Linked DNA regions of Struthio camelus. The protein of the gene in region 1 interacts with the protein of each later gene in a pairwise test. Links are inferred from orthologs where the notes say so. Each region holds a gene or a part of one and is shown in the gene's direction. Other genes may lie near its edges. The genes, in order: PEX6 and PEX26.

What was found.
Region 2: the proteins of PEX6 (region 1) and PEX26 come close enough for resonance energy transfer, tested with the Homo sapiens proteins (2 studies listed by BioGRID). The link is inferred for Struthio camelus from reciprocal best matches to the Homo sapiens genes PEX6 and PEX26.

Annotation. Positions count from the first base shown.
Region 1 is NC_090944.1:147,792,117-147,802,965, reverse strand, and holds the start of PEX6 (peroxisome biogenesis factor 6), read left to right. Parts: upstream 1-5,538; coding exon 5,539-6,384; intron 6,385-7,615; coding exon 7,616-7,779; intron 7,780-8,501; coding exon 8,502-8,585; intron 8,586-9,954; coding exon 9,955-10,057; intron 10,058-10,252; coding exon 10,253-10,389; intron 10,390-10,473; coding exon 10,474-10,585; intron 10,586-10,849. Other genes in the region: VSX1 (visual system homeobox 1), read left to right, coding at 1-26, 110-233, 877-1,057, 1,547-1,812. UniProt on the Homo sapiens protein: Component of the PEX1-PEX6 AAA ATPase complex, a protein dislocase complex that mediates the ATP-dependent extraction of the PEX5 receptor from peroxisomal membranes, an essential step for PEX5 recycling.
Region 2 is NC_090942.1:70,907,648-70,918,705, forward strand, and holds the start of PEX26 (peroxisome assembly protein 26), read left to right. Parts: upstream 1-5,644; 5' UTR 5,645-5,789; coding exon 5,790-6,010; intron 6,011-6,110; coding exon 6,111-6,251; intron 6,252-6,761; coding exon 6,762-7,075; intron 7,076-8,509; coding exon 8,510-8,656; intron 8,657-9,466; coding exon 9,467-9,570; 3' UTR 9,571-11,058. UniProt on the Homo sapiens protein: Peroxisomal docking factor that anchors PEX1 and PEX6 to peroxisome membranes. PEX26 is therefore required for the formation of the PEX1-PEX6 AAA ATPase complex, a complex that mediates the extraction of the PEX5 receptor from peroxisomal membrane.

The DNA of each region.
Region 1 (10,849 bases):
GCCAAGAGGAAGAAGCGGCGGCACAGGTACGAGCCCCGAGGCAGGGCCCGGCCCGGGCCCGCGGCCGGGGGTCCGGCCCGCCCCGCAGGACCCGCTCTCCTCCCCGCAGGACGGTGTTCACGGCTCACCAGCTGGAGGAGCTGGAGAAGGCGTTCACCGAAGCTCACTACCCGGACGTCTACGCCAGGGAGATGCTGGCCGCGAGGACGGAGCTGCCGGAGGACAGGATACAGGTAGGTGGCCGCGCGGGACCTCGAGCTGGATGCCCACCTTCCCCCCCCCCCGACACGCTCCCGGGCTGCGCTAGGAGACCCCCAACCAGGGGCACGGCGCTCCTCCGGCCCCCGTACCCCCGGTGGGGGCAGGCGGCCCGGCCGCGGCGCCGCTGGGCCAAGCCGTCTCACCTTGGGTGGCTCACGCCTCCTCTGAGGGACACGGGGCGGCTCGCTGGCTTGGCTGAGGATGGGGCAGCGGTTGGGTTGCACCTGCCCCGCAGGAAGGCAGCGGGGGGGCTGGGGGGGAGAGGAGCACCGGCACCCTCCGCCAGCACCTGCCCCGCGGACCCCTTCTCCTGGAGACGAAGGTGGCTTCGTGCGGCCGCCCGGCGGGCAGGCGGAGCCCACGGGCTCCTCTTGGCGACGTTGGCTGGGGACGCCTGGTGTAACGTGTGCTCCCTCTCCCCCCCCCTCCTCCTCTCCCCTCTGGCTCACACCCACGTGCGTGCCCTCCCCGCATCCCCCCCGACACCACCTCTCGGCGGTCCCTCGGCCCTGGCCGCGCGCTGCCCCGCGCGCAACGGGCCCCGCCGGCTGGCCGCGGGTGCCGTCTCCTCCCCTCTCCCACCCCTCCGCGCTCTCCTGGCTGTTACCCCTGAAGGTTTGGTTTCAGAACCGAAGAGCCAAGTGGCGGAAGAGGGAGAAGCGCTGGGGCCGGAGCAGCGTGATGGCCGAGTACGGCCTCTACGGGGCCATGGTGAGACACTCCATCCCTCTGCCCGAGTCGATCATCAACTCCGCCAAGAGCGGGCTGGTGGGATCCTGCGCCCCGTGGCTGCTGGGTGAGCTGGAGCACGGTGCGGCGGGGGGACGGGGCCGGCCACGGCGCCCAGCGAGCTAGCGGTCACCTCTCGTGCCTGGCCACGCGCGCCCGCCCTCTCCCAGGACGGAGCAGGGCCTCAGCCACGAGCTTTGAGCAGGCTGCGGCGTAGCTTGGCCCTTTCGCTCCCTCCCTCTGAAGAGGAGCTGGGGAAGGGGGACCGCTTCCCCGCGGCCGGGCACGGCCCCGCGCTCGCGCCGTGTCGGGGGCTACCTGACCCGCTCCAACGGGGCGGCCCGGGAAGCCCGGGCCCTTCGCAGCAGCCCTCTCCCGGCGAGCCTTTCCCGCCGCCCGCGAGCGGCAGGTGCCCACGGGTCCCGCTGCGGAGCGGCCTCCTCTGGCGGAGAGCAGGCAGCAGGGGCGCGAGCCAGAGCCAGCGCGAGGTTCCCCTCCGGCTGGGGCCGCGGGCGGGCAACGCGCGCCCTCTGCTCTGCTCTTTCCCCTCGGCAAGGCATGCACAGAAAGTCCGTGGAGGCGAGCAGGAAGGCGGAGAGCCGGGAGAAGCCGGCGGACGGCTGGCGAGAGGAGCGGACCGAGGAGGACCGCGGAGGGGAGCCGGCCAGCGCGCAGAGGGGCTCTGACCAGCTGGGCCCCGTGATCGATTCGGGGGACGCGGCCATCGACCTCTCCAGGACGGCCGGGCGCGGGAAGAGAAGCGCGCTGGGCCGGTGCGTCAGCGGGGACCCCGCCGCGGAGCAGGAGGACAGGGACCGCTGAGCTCGGGCTGCCCGGCCAGCCCCCTGCGATCCTAAGAATATTTATTGCTATATGTATATATTTTTTTCCTCCTCAGATAATTGAACTTCTATCTGAATTCAGGGCATTGTAAAACTGAACCCTCCCCTCCGCCCCCCCGCTTCTCAGCTGCTCGCCTCTCAGCAGAGCAGAGAGGCGTCCGAAGCTGGCCAAAAGCGGTGGGAAACCAGGACCGTGCTGTGGGCAGCACGGACGGCCTCTTGGGCAGAGCTTCCCTTCGCCCGGGGCTGCGCGCGGGGGCCCGTCCATCGCCGGCAGCGCCCGCGCGCCTCTCCCGCCCCGAGGGCTCCGGCACGTCCTCCGGCCGCCGCCAGCTGACGTGCCGCCGCAGCCTCGCCACCGCGTTTACGCTGCGTCGCGGTCGGGCCGAGGGACGGAGGCGCTCTTATTTACGCAACCACCTTCGCACGCGCTTGAACGTCGCCTGCCGTACCGGGCACGCCAACAGAGCGGCCTTTCCGAAAACCAAGCCGTAGTACCCCGGAACAAGCGCACGATGTGTGGGTCGACGCAGGAGACCGTTCCGGGAACGTCTGTGAGAGCGCAACGCCCCCGCCGTTCCTCGGCGGTCTGACTTCTGTCCGAAAGCACTTTAGCCTCTGTCTGTCTGGTTCTGGTTTTTTTTCTTCTGAACGTGGCTCTGCCTGTTTTGTCCATCGCTTATTTATTACGCCCCCATAAATAAAGCTGTGGTGTAGCTTCGGTTTTCATGCTGTGCGTGCATCCCCCCCCTCCGCCGCCCCGCCACCTCTCAGGGAAACGGGCGCACGGCAAACGCAGCCGGCGCGGCAGAAAACCGTACGGCGGGGCTGCGCGGGCAGCACGGTTCAGGAAAGGATGAGCCAGGGCTTATTGCAGCAGCAATTACGCGCTGCAAGAGCCGAGATTTAGCACGTTGGAGGCCTAATCCTGCCTGAGCAGCATTTGCAAACCCGTTATGTGGGTTGTGCCGTGCTGGCACTGGTGTCTGGCAGCTTTTTTTTTTCCCCTTTTTGCCCTGCCCGCGCGCGGCTGGCCTGGCTCACCGCGTCGCTCCGGGGGCAGAGCGCAGCAACGGCAAACGCCGGGGCGCCTTCCCCGGCCCGGGGCAGCCCAGCCTGGCGGCCTTCCCGCTCTCACCCCCGGCTGCAGGAGGGGACTCGCGGGGCAGGCTGCCAGCCTGCTGCCCCGAGGTCACTGCAGCGCGCGCCGCCCCCGAACCGCCTCTGCCCCAGGCAGGGACTCGCGCCAGCTGCCCAGCCGGCCGCGGACCAAGGGACGCGGAGCGGGGCTAAAACGGGACCACGTTGGCTTGTTTCTCGGCTTCGCCAGGAGCGGGCGGCCGCTGGCTGCCAGGCACGGGCCCGGGGCGGCGCTGCCGGCTGGCCCCGCTCGCCGGTAACGCGCGCTTCGGCTGGGCGGCCCCTGCGGGGCTGCTGCCCGGGCCCGCAGACCGGCCGCCCGCCGCCACCGCCCCTTAAGGCCCTGCAAGCGCTCCCTCGCGCCGGGCCGGCCCGGCCCAGGCGCGGGCTGTCCGGGCTCTCACCCCCGCCTTGTCCACCCCCGCCCAGCAGATCCCGGCCAGGATCTGGGGATCCTGATCCAGCAGATCCTGGCCAGGATCCTGGGATCCCCACCCAGCAGATCCTGGCCAGGATCCTCGGGTCCCAGCCCAATAGATCCCAGCCAAGATCCCAGGGTCCCCGTCCAGCAGATCCCAGGATCCTGACCCAACAGATCCTATCCAGGATCCTGGGATCCCTGTCCAGTAGATTCCAGCCACGATCCCAGGATCCCCACCCAGCAGATCCCGGCCACAATCCCAGGATCCCCACGCAGCAGATCCCGGCCAGGATCCCGGGATCCTGATCCAGGAGATTCCGGCCACAATACCGGGACCCTTTCCCAGCAGATCCCGGTCAGGATCCCGGGATCCCCATCCAGCAGATCCTGGCCACAATCCTGGCATTCCCACCGAAGAGATCCCAGCCACAATCCCAGGATCATGATCGAGGAGATCCTGGCCACAATCACATGGTCCCCACCCAGCAGATCCGGGCCACGATCTGGGGATCCTGATCCAAGAGATCCTGGCCACAGTCTCAGGATCCTTGCCCAGCAGATCCCAGCCACAATCCCAGGATCCCCAGCCAGCAGATCCCAGCCACAATCCCAGGATCCCCAGCCAGCAGATCCCGTCCATGATCCCAGGATCCTGATCCAGGAGATCCTGGACACAACCCCAGGATCCCTGCCCAGCAGATCCTGGCCAGGATCCTGGGATCCCCATCGAGCAGATCCCAGCCACGATCCCGGGATCCTGATCCAGCAGATCCTGGCCACTATCACAGGATCCCTGCTCAGCAGATCCCAGTCAGGATCCTGGGATCCCCGCCCAGCAGTTCCCAGCCACGATCCTCTGATCCCAGCCCAATAGATCCTGGACACAATCCCAGGGTCCCCACCCAACAGATCCTGGCCAGGATCCCAGGGTCCCCACCCAATAGATCCCAGGATCCCAACCCAAACAGATCCCAGATAGGATCCCAGGATCCCCACCCAGCAGATCCCAGCCACGATCTCGGGATCCTAGGATCCCCACTCAACAGATCCTGGCCACAATCCCAGGATCCCAGGATCTCCACCCATCAGATCCCAGCCAGGATCCCAGGGCCCTCGGATCCCCATTCAACAGATCTCAGCCACGATTGTGGGATCCCAGGATCTCCACCCATCAGATCCCAGCCAGGATCCCAGGATCCTCACTCAACAGATCCCAGCCAGGATCCTGGAATTCCACCCATCAGATCCCAGCCAAGATCCCATCAGATCCTGGGATCCCCACTCAGATCACATCCAGGATCCCATGATCCCAGGATCTACACTCAACAGATCCCGAGATCCCCGTCCACCAGATCCTGGCCCGGATCCCATCAGATCCTGGGATCCCCACTCAACAGATCCCGGGATCCCCGTCCATCAGATCCCGGCCTGGATCCCAACAGATCCCGGGATCCCCACTCAACAGATCCTGGGATCCCCATCCATCAAATCCCGGCCTGGATCCCATCAGATCCCGGGATCCCCGTCCATTAGATCCTGGCCCGGATCCCATCAGATCCCGGGATCCCCACTCAACAGCTCCCGGCCCGGATCCCATCAGATCCCGGGATCCACACTCAACAGATCCCAGGATCCCCGTCCATCAGATCCCGGCCCGGATCCCAACAGATCCCGGGATCCCCGTCCATCAGATCCCGGCCCGGATCCCAACAGATCCCGGGATCCCCGTCCATCAGCTCCTGGCCCGTATCCCAACAGATCCCGGGATCCCCGTCCATCAGATCCCGCCCGGCTGCAGGGCGAGGGAGGATCCGACGGGGTTCGGCTTCCCGCAGGCCGCTCCTCGCGGAGGGCCGGTTCGGCGCCGGCAGCAGGCGCTGGCAGCAGGCTCTTCCTCCGGCTCCGGCTCCGGCTCCGGCTCCGGCTCCGGCTCCGGCTCCTCCGCGAGCGCCGGGCGAGGCCGGGCGAGGCCGGGCGAGGCCGGGCGAGGCCGGGGCGGCGCGGCGGGCCGAGGGCCGGCCGGTTTGTGGCGGGGAGCGCTCCCTCTCTATGGCTCCGCGCCGGGGCGGGGCCGCTCCGCGCCGGCGCTCGATGGTCGGGCGGGGCCGCGCCTGCGCAGTGCGCGCTGCGGCGGCCGGCGGCGGCATGGCGGTGGCGGTGGTGCGGCCGCTGGACGCGCTGCCGCCGGCCGAGGCGGCGCCGGTGGCGGCGCTGCTGGTGGCGCCGGGGCCGCTGTGCGCGGCGCTGCGCGGCGAGGGCGAGGGCGGCGGGGTGGTGCTGGCCGTGCGGCCGGCGGGGCGCGGCGGGGCGCAGGCCGTGCTGCTGGGCGCCGCGCTGCTGGAGGAGGTCGGCGGCGGCGGCGGCGGCGGCGGCGGCGGCGGCGGCGGCGGCGGGGCGGCGCTGTGGCTGCGGGCGGCGCTGCGGCGGCGGCTGGGGCTGGCGGCCGGGCGGCGGGTGGCCGTGTGGCCGGTGCGCCGCCCGCCGCCGCTGGCCTGGGTGCTGCTGGGCGGCGGGGGCGGCCGGGCGGCGGGGGCGGGGGCGGCCGGGCCGCCGGTGCTGGAGGCGCGGCCGGCGCTGCAGGGGCTGCTGGGCGGCGGCACCCGCCTGGCCCGCGCCCCCCCCCCGCCCGGCGGTGACGGCGCCCCCTGGCGCTGCCCCGCGGCGCCGCCCCCCCCGCCGCTGGTGTCGCGGTTCGCGGGGGGGGCGGGGGGGGCGCTGCGGCTGCGGGCGGCCCGCGGCGGCGGGGGGGGGGCCGAGGTGCGGGTGAGCCGGCGGGGGCTGCTGGCGCTGGGGCTCTTCCAGGGCGAGTGGGTGCGGGTGCGGGCCGGGGTCGGGGCCGGCCGGCAGCACCTGGCGGCCCTGCGCCTCTGCCCCCCGCCCTGGGGCTACCCCGCCGCCGCTGCCCCCCTCGACGGCGCCCTGCTGACCCCCGCCCTGGCCTTCAACCTGGGCTGCGACCCCGCCGCCGCCGCCACCCTCCTCTGCCTCCGGGTGAGCCCCGCGGCCGGGCGCGAAGGGGGCTGCCGGCCGCCCCGCGGCCCCATTGCGGCTGGTGGGGACCCCTGGGCCTCCCTGCGGCGGCTCTGGGGGAGAGGGGCTGCCCCACGGTGCTGCCCGTGCCCCATTGCGGGTGGTGGGGACCCCTGGGCCTCCCTGCGGCGGCTCTGGGGGAGGGGGGCTGCCCCACGGTGCTGCCCGTGCCCCATTGCGGGTGGTGGGGACCCCTGGGCCTCCCTGCGGCGGCTCTGGGGGAGGGGGGCTGCCCCACGGTGCTGCCCGTGCCCCATTGCGGGTGGTGGGGACCCCTGGGCCTCCCTGCGGCGGCTCTGGGGGAGGGGGCTGCCCCACGGTGCTCCATGTGCCCCATTGCGGGTGGTGGGGACCCCTGGGCCTCCCTGCGGCGGCTCTGGGGGAGGGGGGCTGCCCCACGGTGCTGCCCGTGCCCCATTGCGGGTGGTGGGGACCCCTGGGCCTCCCTGCGGCGGCTCTGGGGGAGGGGGCTGCCCCACAGTGCTGCCCGTGCCCCATTGCGGGTGGTGGGGACCCCTGGGCCTCCCTGCGGCGGCTCTGGGGGAGGGGGCTGCCCCACGGTGCTGCCCGTGCCCCATTGCGGGTGGTGGGGACCCCTGGGCCTCCCTGCGGCGGCTCTGGGGGAGGGGGCTGCCCCACGGTGCTGCCCGTGCCCCATTGTGGGTGGTGGGGACCCCTGGGCCTCCCTGCGGCGGCTCTGGGGGAGAGGGGCTGCCCCACGGTGCTGCCCGTGCCCCATTGTGGGTGGTGGGGACCCCTGGGCCTCCCTGCGGCGGCTCTGGGGGAGGGGGGCTGCCCCACGGTGCTGCCCGTGCCCCATTGCGGGTGGTGGGGACCCCTGGGCCTCCCTGCGGCGGCTCTGGGGGAGGGGGGCTGCCCCACGGTGCTGCCCGTGCCCCATTGCGGGTGGTGGGGACCCCTGGGCCTCCCTGCGGCGGCTCTGGGGGAGGGGGCTGCCCCACGGTGCTGCCCGTGCCCCATTGCGGGTGGTGGGGACCCCTGGGCCTCCCTGCGGCTGCTCCAGGAGAAGGGGGCTGCCGGTGGCCCCACGGCATGTCCCGTGCCCCGTCGCAGCCACTAGGCCCTGGGGATGTGCTGTTGGGGGCTCGTGATGGAGGGAGGAGACGGTGCGGGGCCTCGTGGTGGAAAGCCGCCCCTGACGTCTCCCGCTTCGGTGTGGTCTGCTCCGCAGAGGTACGAAGCAGAGGCCGGCGTCGCGGAAGGGAAGGGGAGCCACTCCTTGCTGGCTGTGCCGCCCTTTGCCAAGGAGCTGCACGTGGAGATCGTCTGCTCGCCAGCCTACAGCGCCAGAGGAGTCTATGACCGTATTCTCTACAAGCACTTCGAAACACCCCAGTAAGGCGTGCGCGTGCGTTCCCGTTCGTGTTATTGGTTGAGTCCAACCGAGATGCGCTCTCGTGGTATATTTGTGGCATCTGGATCCAGTGGACATTGAGCATATATGTAACCAACAACTTAATGCGCGTGGTGAACAGTTTCACAATATCCACCTGCACCATCTTCTCCTCCTGAGCTCGCATGAGCTTGACTTGCCTGCAGCATCTCTTGTCCTGTCCTTCACGAGTCATCCTCGAGCCTCCCTCCCTGTGACTTACCCTCCGGCATTGAGGGCTCCCAAATACTGCCCACAGACCTCCATCCTGGGGTGTGTTCGTATCCTGGCATTCAACTTTGCGTGCAGTTGAATGATTGGCAAGCTGGCTGCGCAGAGGAGGTCTTCTCTTACGACTTGCCCCCGAGCTGCTTCAGAATTGCACTCGGCTGTTCTAGGCATAGAGAGGCGATGCTCTTTAATAGCATTGATCTTCTATATCACTGGCAGATTCTTCCCAGAAGGTAATAACGTTCCCCTTCGTAGTCCTTATGCACCTACTCTCATCTGGGACGTGCTAGATGTTTGTGTAGCTATTTATAATGTTGGAATACAGGAAAAGGAACAAAACACTGTGAATAGCTACGCTCTTCTTTGTGAAAACCTGTGTGGTGTGGTGGGTAGAAGGATTTACTGTTTCTCATTGGTGAAACTCTCTCTCTCTCTCTCTTTTTTTTTTTTTTAGGCTTGTCCAGGAGGGAGACATCGTATGTGTTCCGACATTCGGATGCGCTGAGTTTCTAGAAGCAAATTCAGACAAATTCCTTAGGTGGGTGGCAATAAACCTTGGCTCTGCTACATGGATATTAAAAGAGAAAAGGTGCTTTTCCATGATTGACCTACTTGTAACAGGGCAGTGGGTTCCCTTCTCGTCTGTCCCTGGAGGTCAGAGTTAGTCTGCCTCTTCTTTTATTTTGGTGGGAAAAGTTTTTATTGGATTATGGAAGGTTGCAGCTATACCTTAGCTCAGCTCAAATAGTCACAGAGGGAAGAAAGGAAAAGAGAGAGAGAGAGAGAGAGAGAGAGAGACAGGCGCTGATGGGGAAAAAAGAACGAAGAGTGAAAAGGACGGCCTGAGGACAGCTAGTGCCACATAAACCGAGGTGGAAGTTGGGTTGTTTATGTGGGACCAACACTAAAGTGTGCGTATAAACCCTTTGCGTTAGAATAACTTTCAGTTCAGCCACCAGTTCTGCCTTCCCTGGTTTAGCTCGTATGGCTTTGAAGCAGTTCTGCACTAAATGAGGAAAATTACTTTTGTATCAGAGTAGGGTGCTCGCAGCAGGGCTTTGCTGGTGATAGTATAAATGCTTCAATTTTGTCACTGAGGGAACTGCCACAGGTAACTGAAGAGTGCGATGTGAATATCTGCCTTAAATTGTTCGTGCAGGATATAGCAGCTATGTGTTTTAACACTGTTCAGCTCCACTGCTTATTTTAAAAATTTAAGGATTTCAGAATGCTACCGTAACAAGTATTCTCTAGGCTGTTTTTCTGAAGGAGGCAGGATCACAGGAGGCACAAGTCTTCCATCTGTGCGCTTATATATCTGCCATATGGCAGGCCAAAGAAGATAGCAGAGCTAATGGGGCCTAGAGAGCTTCGAATGGTTTTGGTGTGCAAGTAGGATGCTCGGGGAACGGAGGGCACCTCTGCAGGTCCTTTAACAATCTGTCCTGTGGGATATTGGTGGAGGAAGAAGCATTTTCCCAGCCAGGTATCCAGGGCTGGATGCTAGTAAGGCTATCGTGATATGTGGGTGAGTTCTGTTCTGCAGCTCGGAGGACTTTGCAGTACGAGGTTTTATGTGCTGCAGGCCAAACTCTGCGCAGTCGCAGTGAAGGAACCGATGGCAGAAGAGGGGGTGTGTGAGCTCTTAGGCAAAGCAGGCAGAATGGGAAGATTGGGACAGCAGTACTTGTGAGCTAAAGCCACCAGCAGAAGCTGTAACTGTTGACAGTCAAGTTGGTCTCCCTAGCCAGCACTATGGGATCCGTGAAGGATCCATGGCGGGTTTTGACAGAGAGCAAGAGCGTCTGTGCTTACCTGTGCCTTTCAGCTGGCTTCTGGTGGTGAAAGGAGTATTCCTGCTGTCCAGGTCTTGAGTCAATAATTTAGACTGCTTGCTCTTCCTTTAGATGGCCAGAGCTTTACCTCAAAGTGAGGAAGATTTTAGGCGTGGTGGAAGGCGAGCAGTCTGAGGGTTGCCTGGTGGACACCCAGAACACCTCTCTGTATCTGGTAAGACGTCAGTGGAGAGCAGGGCGGGCGTACAGGAGATGTGAGGCTGAAGTGGTGCCGTAGTGATGGCAAAGGTGCCTGAGGAGGCTTATGTCTCCTGCAGTTCCAAAGGGGTGTTTTGGGACACCCTTTGTCACTTGGCAGCTGTCTTTTCTCCACTGATGTTCTGCAGCATGTTACGTTCCTTCCTCACAGGTGGGTTCAACCAACAGTGCTGTCCCATCTTCCCCAGCCTATGGCAGCCATGAGTTCTGGAGCAGTTTGTCTCCTGCTGGACTTTCCGATGTTGTGAAGCAGCTGTGTGGTGCCCTTCAGCCTCACCTGAACAGTTGGTGAGTTTAAATTCCTTCTAGCCGGCCTCAGGAGAGCTGGGCCCCTGCTCCACAGTTGCTGAGAGACCTGCCTCTGTGTTGCAGGGCAACCGCGCTGAATGGGGCAGGCAGCGTTCTCCTCTCGGGGCCAAGCGGCAGTGGGAAGCTGATGGCTGTCAGAGTTGTGTGTAGCTGCCTTAACCTTCACCTCTTCAAGGTAACTCCTCCTAGGGTCAAGTGACTGGTGGATTTACCGCATACAGCTATGGGAAGCAAATTCAAACACCCTGCACCCATGACATGAGCCTCCTCAGAAGTCATTCCCATGCATGCATGCAAATAAAAGGAGTCCAAGTGTGCTGAGCTTTGCAGCTCGCTCTGGCACAGATTGTGACTTCTGGTGGATATAACCTGAGGGCAACTGTTCGGATCAGCCCAAAGGTCCATCTAGCCCACTGCCCTGTGCTGGGGCTGGCCAGTG
Region 2 (11,058 bases), on another chromosome or scaffold:
TTAAAAAATTCAGAGGCAAATTCATAAAAAAGTAACAAATTCTTAATTACTAAATCGAGTTTGTGAGCAAAACAGCAAGCAGTGAAGTTCCGCCTGCTGCAGTCCTCCCGCTGAATGGGCACAGCAATACACTTAACCTGGCGAAATACAAGACATACAGGCTGCATCATTGAACGATCCCTTCCTAGCTGATCCTCTCCAGAGCGCTAGACACTGTTACCTAGCAACTCTACAGCACTGCTGGTTTTTCTAAAACAATCTTTAATTAAGACTTTTATGAGCATCACAAGATCAAGTCAAATAAGAACCACGAGCAGCAGCATGAGAGACAAAAGAGTTTGCTGCTTTAACTTATGTAACATTATCTATAATTCCCAGTTCAAAATGCAGAACATGAAACATTTGGATGTTTGCAGTTAAAATTAACAGAAGATCATGCTAAGCTTGAATTCAAAATGAGGGATAGGTGTTCGACAAACACTGAAACAAGAAGTACTGAAAAGCTGTTAGGCTAGGGTAAAAAGAATGTGATTTGAGAAAATAATGTTTTCTCTTCCCATTTGCCTTATGGTATCAGTACTTTCATGATTCACGTTGGCAAACATCTCTCCCAGCTATGGGAGCATGATGTCCACTTTTGAAATAGAAGTGCAGAGATTAATGGGTGACAATAGATTTCGGCAGGTGGGGCTTTAAGAAAAGATATTAACAGTCAGAAGGGGAAGCAACTCTGAATCAGTAGAGCAAAGAGATGCAGTGCTGGGCAAAGAAGATTTAATTGACCTATAGTGATGACAGCCTTTAGTATTTTCCTCACAGATAATAACTGGTTGCAGAAAAGAAGCCGCCTTAGGCCTTTAACCAAATTGGTCACCTTAAAGCTATGAAATGCCCCACCCAGCCCTAATTATTACTATTATAACTGGTAACAATCAAATAAAAAGTAACAATGTTTATTCTTTGCATGCTTGGATGCCAGGTTTGGTATTTTGGTATTTTGTTTGATATAGAGCAAAGAACGAGGCACGATCAACTTAAAATCACCCTTCTTTTCGAAAAGCTTTTGCTATTATATTAGTAAAATTCCAGCTCTACAAGTTGTGCAAATACCTCTGTTTCTCCAATTTTCCAGTGTCCGGTGTTTGTACCTCACACAGCGTGTTTTTAAGATGAAGATTAAAACAGGGATTTGCTCAGACTTTAATGTCACAGGATATATTCGCACCTAGTTGGATTGTAGCTAATGACTACCCCTGTAGTTATCTTTACCGTCTTCTCTCTGCCATCCTCATCTGTTGTTTATATGGGTTTTCATGCAGCCAAAGTTAAGAGGAGAGTGCTTTAAAAAGCAGTAACTAGGAACATTAGCAGGTGGTCTCAAAATCAGGTGAGGCACCCCTTACTAGTCTTATTTAAAAAAAAACAATAAAATATTTGTTTGATTCTATCTTAAGTAAAATAAAGAAGACTTCAGACTTGACCATCTGTTAGATGCATAACCAGAAAGTGCTCACCTTTACACAACTGAGGGCTCTAATGCTAGCCTGACAGAAGCTAGAGGGAGCCCTGAATTTGAGTTAATGGAAGGGAACTGAGCCACCTATCTTCATATTTAATCGGGATGTATTGCTCATAGGAAACATAAGCAAATTACAAGTTCCAGTGTCTAATGGCCTAGCCAGACCCAAACAAAAGCACATGGTGATGAAGAGGGAGTGCTGCTTGTTGAGATCTGCAGTCTCTGTGGACGTCATTGCTTTATTATAGTACATCATAGTTTATAAGCAACTTCATCTTTAAAACCCCACAGCTTTCCTACAGACCTTACTTTGTTCAACTGTGTTTATAATGCCTTTTATATTTCCAGATCTTCTATTCATTTTTATTTAGGTGTAAGTGGGTTTCTTTCTCTTAAAATCAGACCATAGAGCCCCACTGTTTCTAGCTCAAAGTCTCCCTAATGCTGCTAATCTCATATTAACAGCCTACTGACACAGAAGAGACCACAGAAAAGACTGATTGCCAGCTCTCTGGCCCTGTGACCCCACGCTAGTCAGATCTGGATTAATACTTGAGGCGATTTACCTCAGGAGGCCCTGTTACAGGTGACTGTATCCCTAACTCTCCTTGAACTGCTTCACAGCAGTGGGAGGAGGAGAATGTGAATTCACAGCTGGTGAAAACATAAAGAAGGTCCCTCTGCAACTCATTTCATTTCTTTTCCTATAGAAAATCAAGATGGCAGCAAAAAGAAAAACCTTAGATTTCAGATGAGAGTCAAGGAGCCAGGCATCAACACCCCCCCTCCCCCCACGACACAATGCATTGTGATGCTCCCTCTTACTACTTGTTCCTAAGAGTAAGTTTTCTTGAATTTACCTTTTCTCATTACTAGAAACTGCTCTCCAGGAAGCAGAAGCACAGCCAAACATGTTGATTTCCTCCAATATATTTATAGTGGTATAGCCCTGCGTGTTGGCTATAGTCACATACAAGAGTGACTCTTCCAAGTTTAAAAACAATTTATACTGTTTACATTTAAGGAAAGATGGAAAAATAGCATCATTCTTATCCTGCAAAGAGTGTCCACGTGACAGTTTAGTTCACCAGCCCAAACTGCCTCTCACTTCTCTCCACAGCTGGACTGTATCTCCCACATTTGCAGTACTGTGCCATGCCTACCCTCCTGCTCCATGACCCTACATAGTAGAAGTAGGTTGCTGGGATGACAGATCAGGCTGACCAGCTGCACTTGACGTCACTGAGCGGCCACACACTGCATCTCAGATGCATGAGAGAGACGTCTGACTGTAGGGACGAGAGAGGGAGGCAGGAGCCAATTCTGTCCCTGCCAAAGTCGACCACTAAGACGTTACAGATCTGAATTTGCCGTTAGGTTGTCTCTGGTCTCCACTAAGACAATTCTATTTGACCTCAGAAGATTTTCCACTTTGCTTGTTAACAAATTGCCAATGAAATAAGTAATTGCTCCTAACCTGATCTTAAACAACGGTTTAACTGAATTACTGAGTGGCTGTTATTTGCCGGTTAGAGAACTGTGAGAGGTTTGGCCTTCAAGGCACCACACTGTCCCCTCTAGGATAAGGGGTGAAGTACAAAAACATTCTACCATGCTTTACAGAGAAATTAATTTTACCCATAGTTGTTATTACAAGGCTGCCTGTTCCCTATTAGCTTCTTAAACAGCCAGACTGCAGCTCACTCAGATCTTCTGTTTAGAAGAGCTCCCATTCTCTCTGCCTTTTCTGTACCTCTAACACAACTGCATTATTGTTGCAGCTCACATATCTGTCTGTAGTTCTTTATTAATAAAGAGCACCTGCAAGAAAACAGGATCTGACTCATTTTGCAGCACAGCTGCTCCCACTGCTTACTTCCCCACCTGAAACAACAATCCTCATTTTCAAAAAACCACATTCATCATCACAGCGAGCAATTCCAGCATCACCACTACACCACTGAACTGTCCTTCTAAGGAATAGAATATTTTGGGCTGCTCTCCTCAAAAGACATTGTTGAATATCTTTGCATATTACAAACTTACCTCATTCCATGCTGTCTCACTCCTTTTCTGATTCTCAGTGGGGAATATTCAGTGACTGTTAGTCTTTTTCAAAATTGATTCCTTATCCATATTTGGGAATTTGTGCTGGGCACTAGCTGGTACAACGCATACTCTTCCCACAGTGCACTTTGGGACTTGTAGTTCCCAAAAAGGAATGTTGTTTTCCAGATTGCAAGTACCAAGCAACAGTAACAGAAGTCTGAAAAGTGTTTTATCTCCTAGCTTGCTTAGCTGCTCAGCCCTTCCTTTTACAATATTTTTGTTCTGTGGTTTTGGCTTAACCAAGCTGAATCTTTCTGGAATCTCCTTCTGCAGTCAGTAACACAACATACAAACTCTAACGCATTGGCTTGTGAACGCTGCTATTACAGAGTGTTCCTCCTGTTACAATGAAGAGGGGTTTGATTCTGCCACCTGTAAACAACTGTTTATAAGAGAGTTATGAGCAAATTTGTCATCATACTCCCCACACTTTCCTCCACACTGAAACAGCACAGAAGTTTCCTTTTAAAACCTGTACTTGACACTTTAACATATGCTTTGCATTAGGATCTTTGATTTTTCATTAAATAGTTATAGTAGCAGTCAGGGTTACAAAACAGTATGCTAAGTTCTACCTCTCCTGTAGAGATTCATTTCTGAAGAGAGTTTTCACATGGTGAAATCATTATTTTGTAACCAAGACACCCTATTGTTTTGAAATATCAGTTAAATAAGAATGTGAAACATTTTATATTATTGCATGCCTGGCACTGGGGGTACAGTGGAGGAGCTTGTTCTTAAGCCCAAACTCCAGCTCATTTAACAGTTTAGCATGCGCCAAACCCTGGACACGTGGTTTTCAGTAAGGTGATGGCCGAAGCAAAGATTGCCAGGAAACGTGCCATAAGGAGACCAAGGCCTGCGTTCGCCTGGCACAGCAAACTGCTGGCAAAGACCTGCGTCGAAAGCAGCCATGCGTTAGGCTGTAAGGGGAGCACTCTCCCTTCGTTATTCACTCAGAAAAATCTTCTTCTGCTGGCTGTTTATAGTGAAGAAAACCACAGGACCGCAACTTTATTGCCTAGCTCTTCTGCACCTTAAAGCCTTCCATTTAGCAAGCAAAAGCGCTTGTGGTTTGGGCGACACCTCGCGGTCGGGGAGAAGAAAAGCCGCGACCTTCGCCAGGCTCTTTGACCCTCCTGCTAGTGGGGGCAGCTGAGGTGGAAAATTTTGACTTGGGTTTAGTTGTTCTCCGCTGGCAGGCACGAGGGCGAGAAATTAAAGGTTTCGATTATTAAGCAAAGCCCAGCGGAGGCACAAGCCTCTGGATACCTTATCACCGAGGCAAAGACAGATGCGCTTCCCTACCTTAAGAGGGACGTTTTTCTGTCTCGTGCGCGTGCAGCTTTGTGTGACTGAGGAGCCTCCTTCGGGCAGCCTGTGTCTTTCAGGCTGCTGCTGAAGGAACACTTGGGATTTCTTGCTACCACGGGGAGAAAAAAGAAGCGGAGGGGGTGGAAAAAAAAGGCACCGCAAGCGCCACCTGGCGGCCAGCGCGTCCCGTCGCCCGCACACCTCCCCGGCTCGCTCTCTAAGCGTGCCCGCAAACTTCACTCCCCCTTTTACCACGACGCAAACCCGGCTTCACAAAATAGCCGGAAGCTCCGGGAAGGCAAGCCGAGGACGCGAGCGTGGGGCTAAGTCCTGTTCTTGTCAAAATTACACAGGCCTCCAGCTGCCCCTCCCTCTCCGCCTTGCCCCCCGGCCGCGGCCCGCCGCCCCCCCCCCGCAACGGCATAACGTGTTCGCGACCTTTCACGGCAGCTTCTTCGCAGGCTCCCGGGGCTCTTAGCTGGCTGGCAGGGAGCCCGTTTGTAACCGAATAGTCCACGCAAAGGTCCCCCCCGCCCCGCGCTCTCTGCCTGCCGCCTCTCCCATGGCGGTTCCCGTCCTACAGAGCCGCCGCTCCGCGGCGCGACGGACCCCTCGGGCCGCCGGGGGCACCAGCGCTCCGAAGAGCCCCGCGCTGCCGGGTCCGGTCGCCTCAGGCAGCCGGTGACTACAGCTCCCGTGGCGCCGCGGGGCGAGAAGATGGCGGCCGGGGCGGTGCCTCCGCAGCCGTGAGGGGGCGGCGGTGGGGGCGTCTCTGGTGGCGTTGGGCGCCGGTGAGGGGCGCCCCTTCGCCGGGGCCGAGCGAGGCGGTAGCCCCGCCGCTACCACCATGAGGAGGGAGCCGGCGGCGGAGCTGCTGCTGCGCAGCGAGCCCCTCGCCTGGCCGCCCGTGTCGGCCCAGGCGGCCTCGCTGCTGGAGGAGGCGACGGACCTGCTGGTGCTGCACCGCGACTTCGCCGCCGCCCTGGAGCGGTGCGAGGCCGGCTGCGACAGCCTGGGCCCTGCCGCTGGGGCCGGTGCTGGGGCTGGGGCCGAGGCCGAGGCCGGGAGGTACGAGCCGGCAGGGCTGGGGGCTCAGGGCTGGTTTAGGGGCTCGTGGAGTTTCAGGCCGCTTAGGGAGCTGCGGAGGTTTGTCTGTCTTCCTTTTCAGCTCTGCAGAAGTGAAATGCTCCCTCTGTGTTGTGGGGATTCAGGCCCTGGCGGAGATGAACCGGTGGCGGGAAGTTCTCTCTTGGGTCCTACAGTATTATCACGTCCCTGAGCATCTGCCTCCAAAAATCCTGGAGCTGTGGTGAGTTTCTCCATGCGACTGCCAGGTACACAGGACTAGGTTTAATAACAGGCCAGACTGCATTTTCACTTTGTATGCTGTAAACCGGGATGAAAGTGGAACCTGGGACAAGCATGTTCTTGAAAAGAGAAATAATTAAAAAAAAAAAAAAGCTGAATTAGTTTCTGTTGCAGATCATTTTGCTCTCTGAACGCATACGCTAGCGTTAGGCATGGTGCTAGCCACCCTGAGCCTGCTGAGAGGCAGCCTTTGGGAGCAACTGGACTTATGTGTGCCTGAGTATGCCTGCAGGCCAGCAGACTGCTTTAGGGTGATAAGGAACAAAAGGGGTCATTCTGAGAGTAACATCAGTGGTTGTACCTACCACCTGTCTCAGAAATCTCTTCCTCTACCTGGAGTGTAGACCTTGACATAAGCCTTGATGATAGCTGCTTGTGAGTAGTAACTGTCAGTTCATCTCAATTTAAAAAGATGTTGTGTCTTCTAATATTTGTCTTTGTTGTGTTCTAGCATCCTGTTATATAGCAAAGTGAGAGAGCCCCAGGTGATGCTGGAGGTTGGCAGTAGCTGGCTGAGAGACGTAACCAATAGGAGCCTCCCTGAGTATGGTTCGTTGCTGGAGCTCTATCTGTTGCGTGTTTTGCTTCCCCTTGGCCAGTTTGAGGGGGCAGAAGAGCTTGTGCGGGGCTGTGATGTTTTTGACAGTGAGCAGCAGCTAGCACTTCTCAAGATCATTTGTGAAAGCCAATGTCAGTGGACTCAACAGGAAGAGATGCGCTCAGCTGCTGAAGAGCAGCAAGACACCACAAGAGAGACAGTTTTGGGTAGGCTTTCCCTCCATTGTTTGTGCTCCTTCGTTTTTTTTTCCTTCAAAGTTTTAGAGATCTGGCTATCTTAAATATTATCAAAATGGTTCAAGTTAGATTGTAATGTAAATCGTATACATCCGTGTTCTCTTTCTGTTATCTGCGGACTGTCTGTTCCCTTCTTTATAATCTATGATAGCCCATCCCAGAACTTCAACATGTGCCCTAGACCTATCATCAGTGAGACAGCTTCCTCAAGCACTCAGGACTTTGCAGTGGGTACAGACAGCAAAGTGCCACTGGGACAACAAGAAGGGAAACAAGTTCAAAAAACAAAAGCTGCTTATAGGTTGTTTGTTTGTTGTAGCCCTCTGCTACTGTCTGAAGTAGAGCAGCTGTAGTTTGATGCCTCAGAATTGTTGGGGTATTGCCTGTAAATCCTCAAAGAGTTTTGAAGATTTGTTCTGCACTCTCGAGTGTGATTCTGCTTAGTTTTTAGCCTGGTTGTTGATGGCTGTTGCGTTGTGGGTAGTCCATCCTCTGTGGACACAGCATGGAAACAGTTTTCACGCCTTGCTTTGTTGTGCAGCACTGGATTCAGAAGAATGGCTTAGGAAAATTTTCCTCTCTCCTTTCTTAAGTCTGGCTGTGTAGTGGTGGTTTCCTTTTACCAGTGAGATGACAAGTTGACCACCTTATGGAATGTTTCTGTAAATGAGTTAGCAGCGTCATTTCAAATGGCTGGGTATGGTAAGGCCTTTCACCTATGGCTCTAACGGGTCTGTAGTAGTACCTAACCAGCATTGTTAGATCCCTTACTAACAAAGGGTAGCAAGTAGTAACTGTATATTAATAATAATGTCAGGACATACCAGCCATGAGGAAGTCACAGAAGGACTGGACTATATCCCGGAAGGCAGTGGAAGACTTGCTGATCCATGTGCTGATAATTACAAAGGGGATTTAGTCTCCACCAGTGTCAGAAGATGGGAATTATTTTCAAGCTTCTAAAACATTTCAGAATAAATGTATTACAGTACAAACAGGCAACTAAAACTAGCAAGTGCATCCTTTAAGGGTATGTGTTGTTGGATCTGTGTACTTTTTGCTTTTTCTCCATTAATAGTTAAGCCCATGTAGAGCAAGCCATGGCATTTAAAGTACTACTTATCTGCCAGAACTGTAAATCACCTGGAGTTATCTACCAGCAGAGATGTTTGCACTGCTGTGGTATAAGTTCATATCGTCCTAAAGCAGATACCTAAAAAAGATCCAATGAATTGTATCCTAAAATTGTGTAATTTCTCTCTGTTCCCTATAAAAGAGACGCATGCGATCAAACTAAGATGTGTCTACAGTTAGGTGAGATGGATGGCACCACTACTGACTCTTCTAAGTGATTTTTTTTCCCACTTTATTTTGCCCTAACAGCCTTTTTATTCTTGTTTCTAGGTGCTCTGTCCCAAAAGCTCTTGACCATGTTGACATTGCTCCGGAGAGCACTGAGGTCCATGTCAAGCCACTTCTATTTAATTCCTTACAAAAAGATTCTCTTGGCTGCTTTTATGCTATATCTGGTGGTGGTGAGATTAGACCCAGGTACAGAATTTAGAGCTTTTATTTTTTTTAATCCACTACGGCTACAGAGAATAAATTAAGAGTTGCTTTTGATAGATATGGTCTATGTAATTGTGTTGTCTTTGGGGCATAAAAGATCTAAAGAACATAAAAGAACCGGGTGGCTAGGAATTTATTTTTTAGGCTTGTTTCTAGTTTTTCCACCTGGAGTCCGTGTAGAAACATGTAACTCAACAAAAGCAGATGTCTGTAAACAGTTATCCCATCTTCAGCTTTTTCTAACAGACAAGGTGCAAACTGTTAGAGACTGACTGAGCTGTCCTAGACCCAGCCTCTGCCCCAGTTAGCTTGAGGTGCTACAAGGTGAATGCCTTCTGGAAGAGTGATTGCCTCCTGGGGCTGTGCTGCCAGGAAAGTACAGAGTTGCCCAGGCCAGTGACGTATTCAAGCGTTGGTTTTGCTTATGCTGGTCTCTCACTAGTAATGGTTGCCTCTGTCGCTGAAGAATGGGCTGGTCCTGTGATGTGGACGGCTTCTGGCGAGCAGGGGGGATGTGTGTCCCCCCTCTATCTGGAGACGCCCCTTCTACTGGGTGGTAGGTGCTCTGTTGCTGTTCCACGAATAGTCTATTGGAAAATACTGAAGAAAGCATGCTAGGGATGGGAGCAGTGGCCTAGGTTAAGGCCTGAGAACTGAACCAAACGGGAAGAAATAAAACACCTACGCTTCCGTTATTGCTGGTTGGGATCAGTCTTTTCTTAGTATGTTTAGCGTATCTTAGTTTTCGCTCTTAAAATGAAAGGCTCTTTTGGTTTTTGTTTTGTTCTGCAGCTTCTCCCACGTCACTGCCGTTTCTTTATAGACTGGTCCAGCTCTTCCGACAGGCTTGGGCAGCTGTACTTTCTCCAATCCGCAGGCCTCCAGTTCAAGACTAAGTGGCTTCCCCCACAGAAAGCATATTTTTTTCTGCTGCTGCAAAAGTATCAGCTTGTATTGAGGACATCCTTAGGCTCTTCAAGGACTGTTGAGATCAGTGTCCCAATTGAGATGGCCACCTGTGAGCTCCCATGTGATGACATCTTCCTTTCTTCAGACGGGGAACTGTGTTGTATGAATTTTGAAACCATGCCATGTATTCCCCACCCGCACACACTTTGCTTAGCTCTGCAGCATCATTCTGTCAAATACTTGGTTAAAGTTACTCCCCTAACCTGCAACTGAGTGAGAATCCTTTCCAAATAGTTTGCTTTGGATATACCTCCTCAGTGAGAGTGGGTGGCCAGTTGTGAGCCAGGCTCACTGAGATGCTTTGGAAGAAGGCCTCATCCTTGTAAATGCTGGGCAGCTCTCTGAACGAGGGAAGTAGCGTTCCTGGAGGCAGGACTGTAAAAGACAGCAGAGTACCAGGTAATTAGGGGAATATACTGTTTTGTCTGAAGACATCGGAAAAGCCCAGTTCCTGCAGCATGGGATTTAGGACACACATGTGGAAATAAAACAGAAAATGGAGCCTGTTGCCTTTTGAAAGTCATGATTTCTCTGGACTGATGCCTCCTCATATGGGCATTTTTGATTTTGAAAATGAAGGCGATGGGACACAAAGACTGTTGTCCTGCACCTACTCTTCCTAAATGCAAACTACTGCACTTTGTGCTTGCCTGATGCCCAAAATTTCTTAGGAGCACGGTGGTAAGGCAATAGATTTATTTTTTTTAATTGTATTCCGTATTGTCTAGATTCTGCCTAAAATCTAGAAATATGAATGTACTAAACAACAGAAGTTGTTGCTTTTTTTTTACTCTTAAGGGTTTCCCTATCATTTGCTATGTTTATTGAGATGTCAGAAAACCTCCATATATTTAGAATACCCCCTCCATACCTAAAGTCTTGGTTCAGATGAAAGCCATTTATCAATGCTACTGTCATTCAGAGGAAAAGTTTATCAATAGGTAGAAAAATATATTTCTCAAACTTTCCCCAAAGCTGTGGCAAGAAAATTGTCTTGCAGAATGCTCTGATTTGTCACCAGACTGACCCCACTTCAGGCCATTGATTTGGATTCCTAGAGGCAGAGGCTGGAGGTCTGGGGTTGGACGTTTCATTTCTTCTCCTGCCATCTACATATCATCAATTGGCAGTGGTTAAATTCCACAGGAGAGAGCATTTGCCTGTTTAAATATTGTTTCTACTGAAGCAAGTTGTGTGTATAGCATAGAAAACAAGTTAGAGGCAAGGAGCCTTTGTGGCAAACGTAGCCAGCCATCCCAGCAACTGTGCCGAGAGAATTCAAATTGAGTGGAACAGCCAAAAATACAAAATGGGGAAATAAGCAGCCTTTTCGGTAGAGTCCATCTAAAGCATCAAACCTGTGAGAAGTAGCCAGTGTAGATCCCAGCACGGTGTCTTACAACAGTAGTCACCTT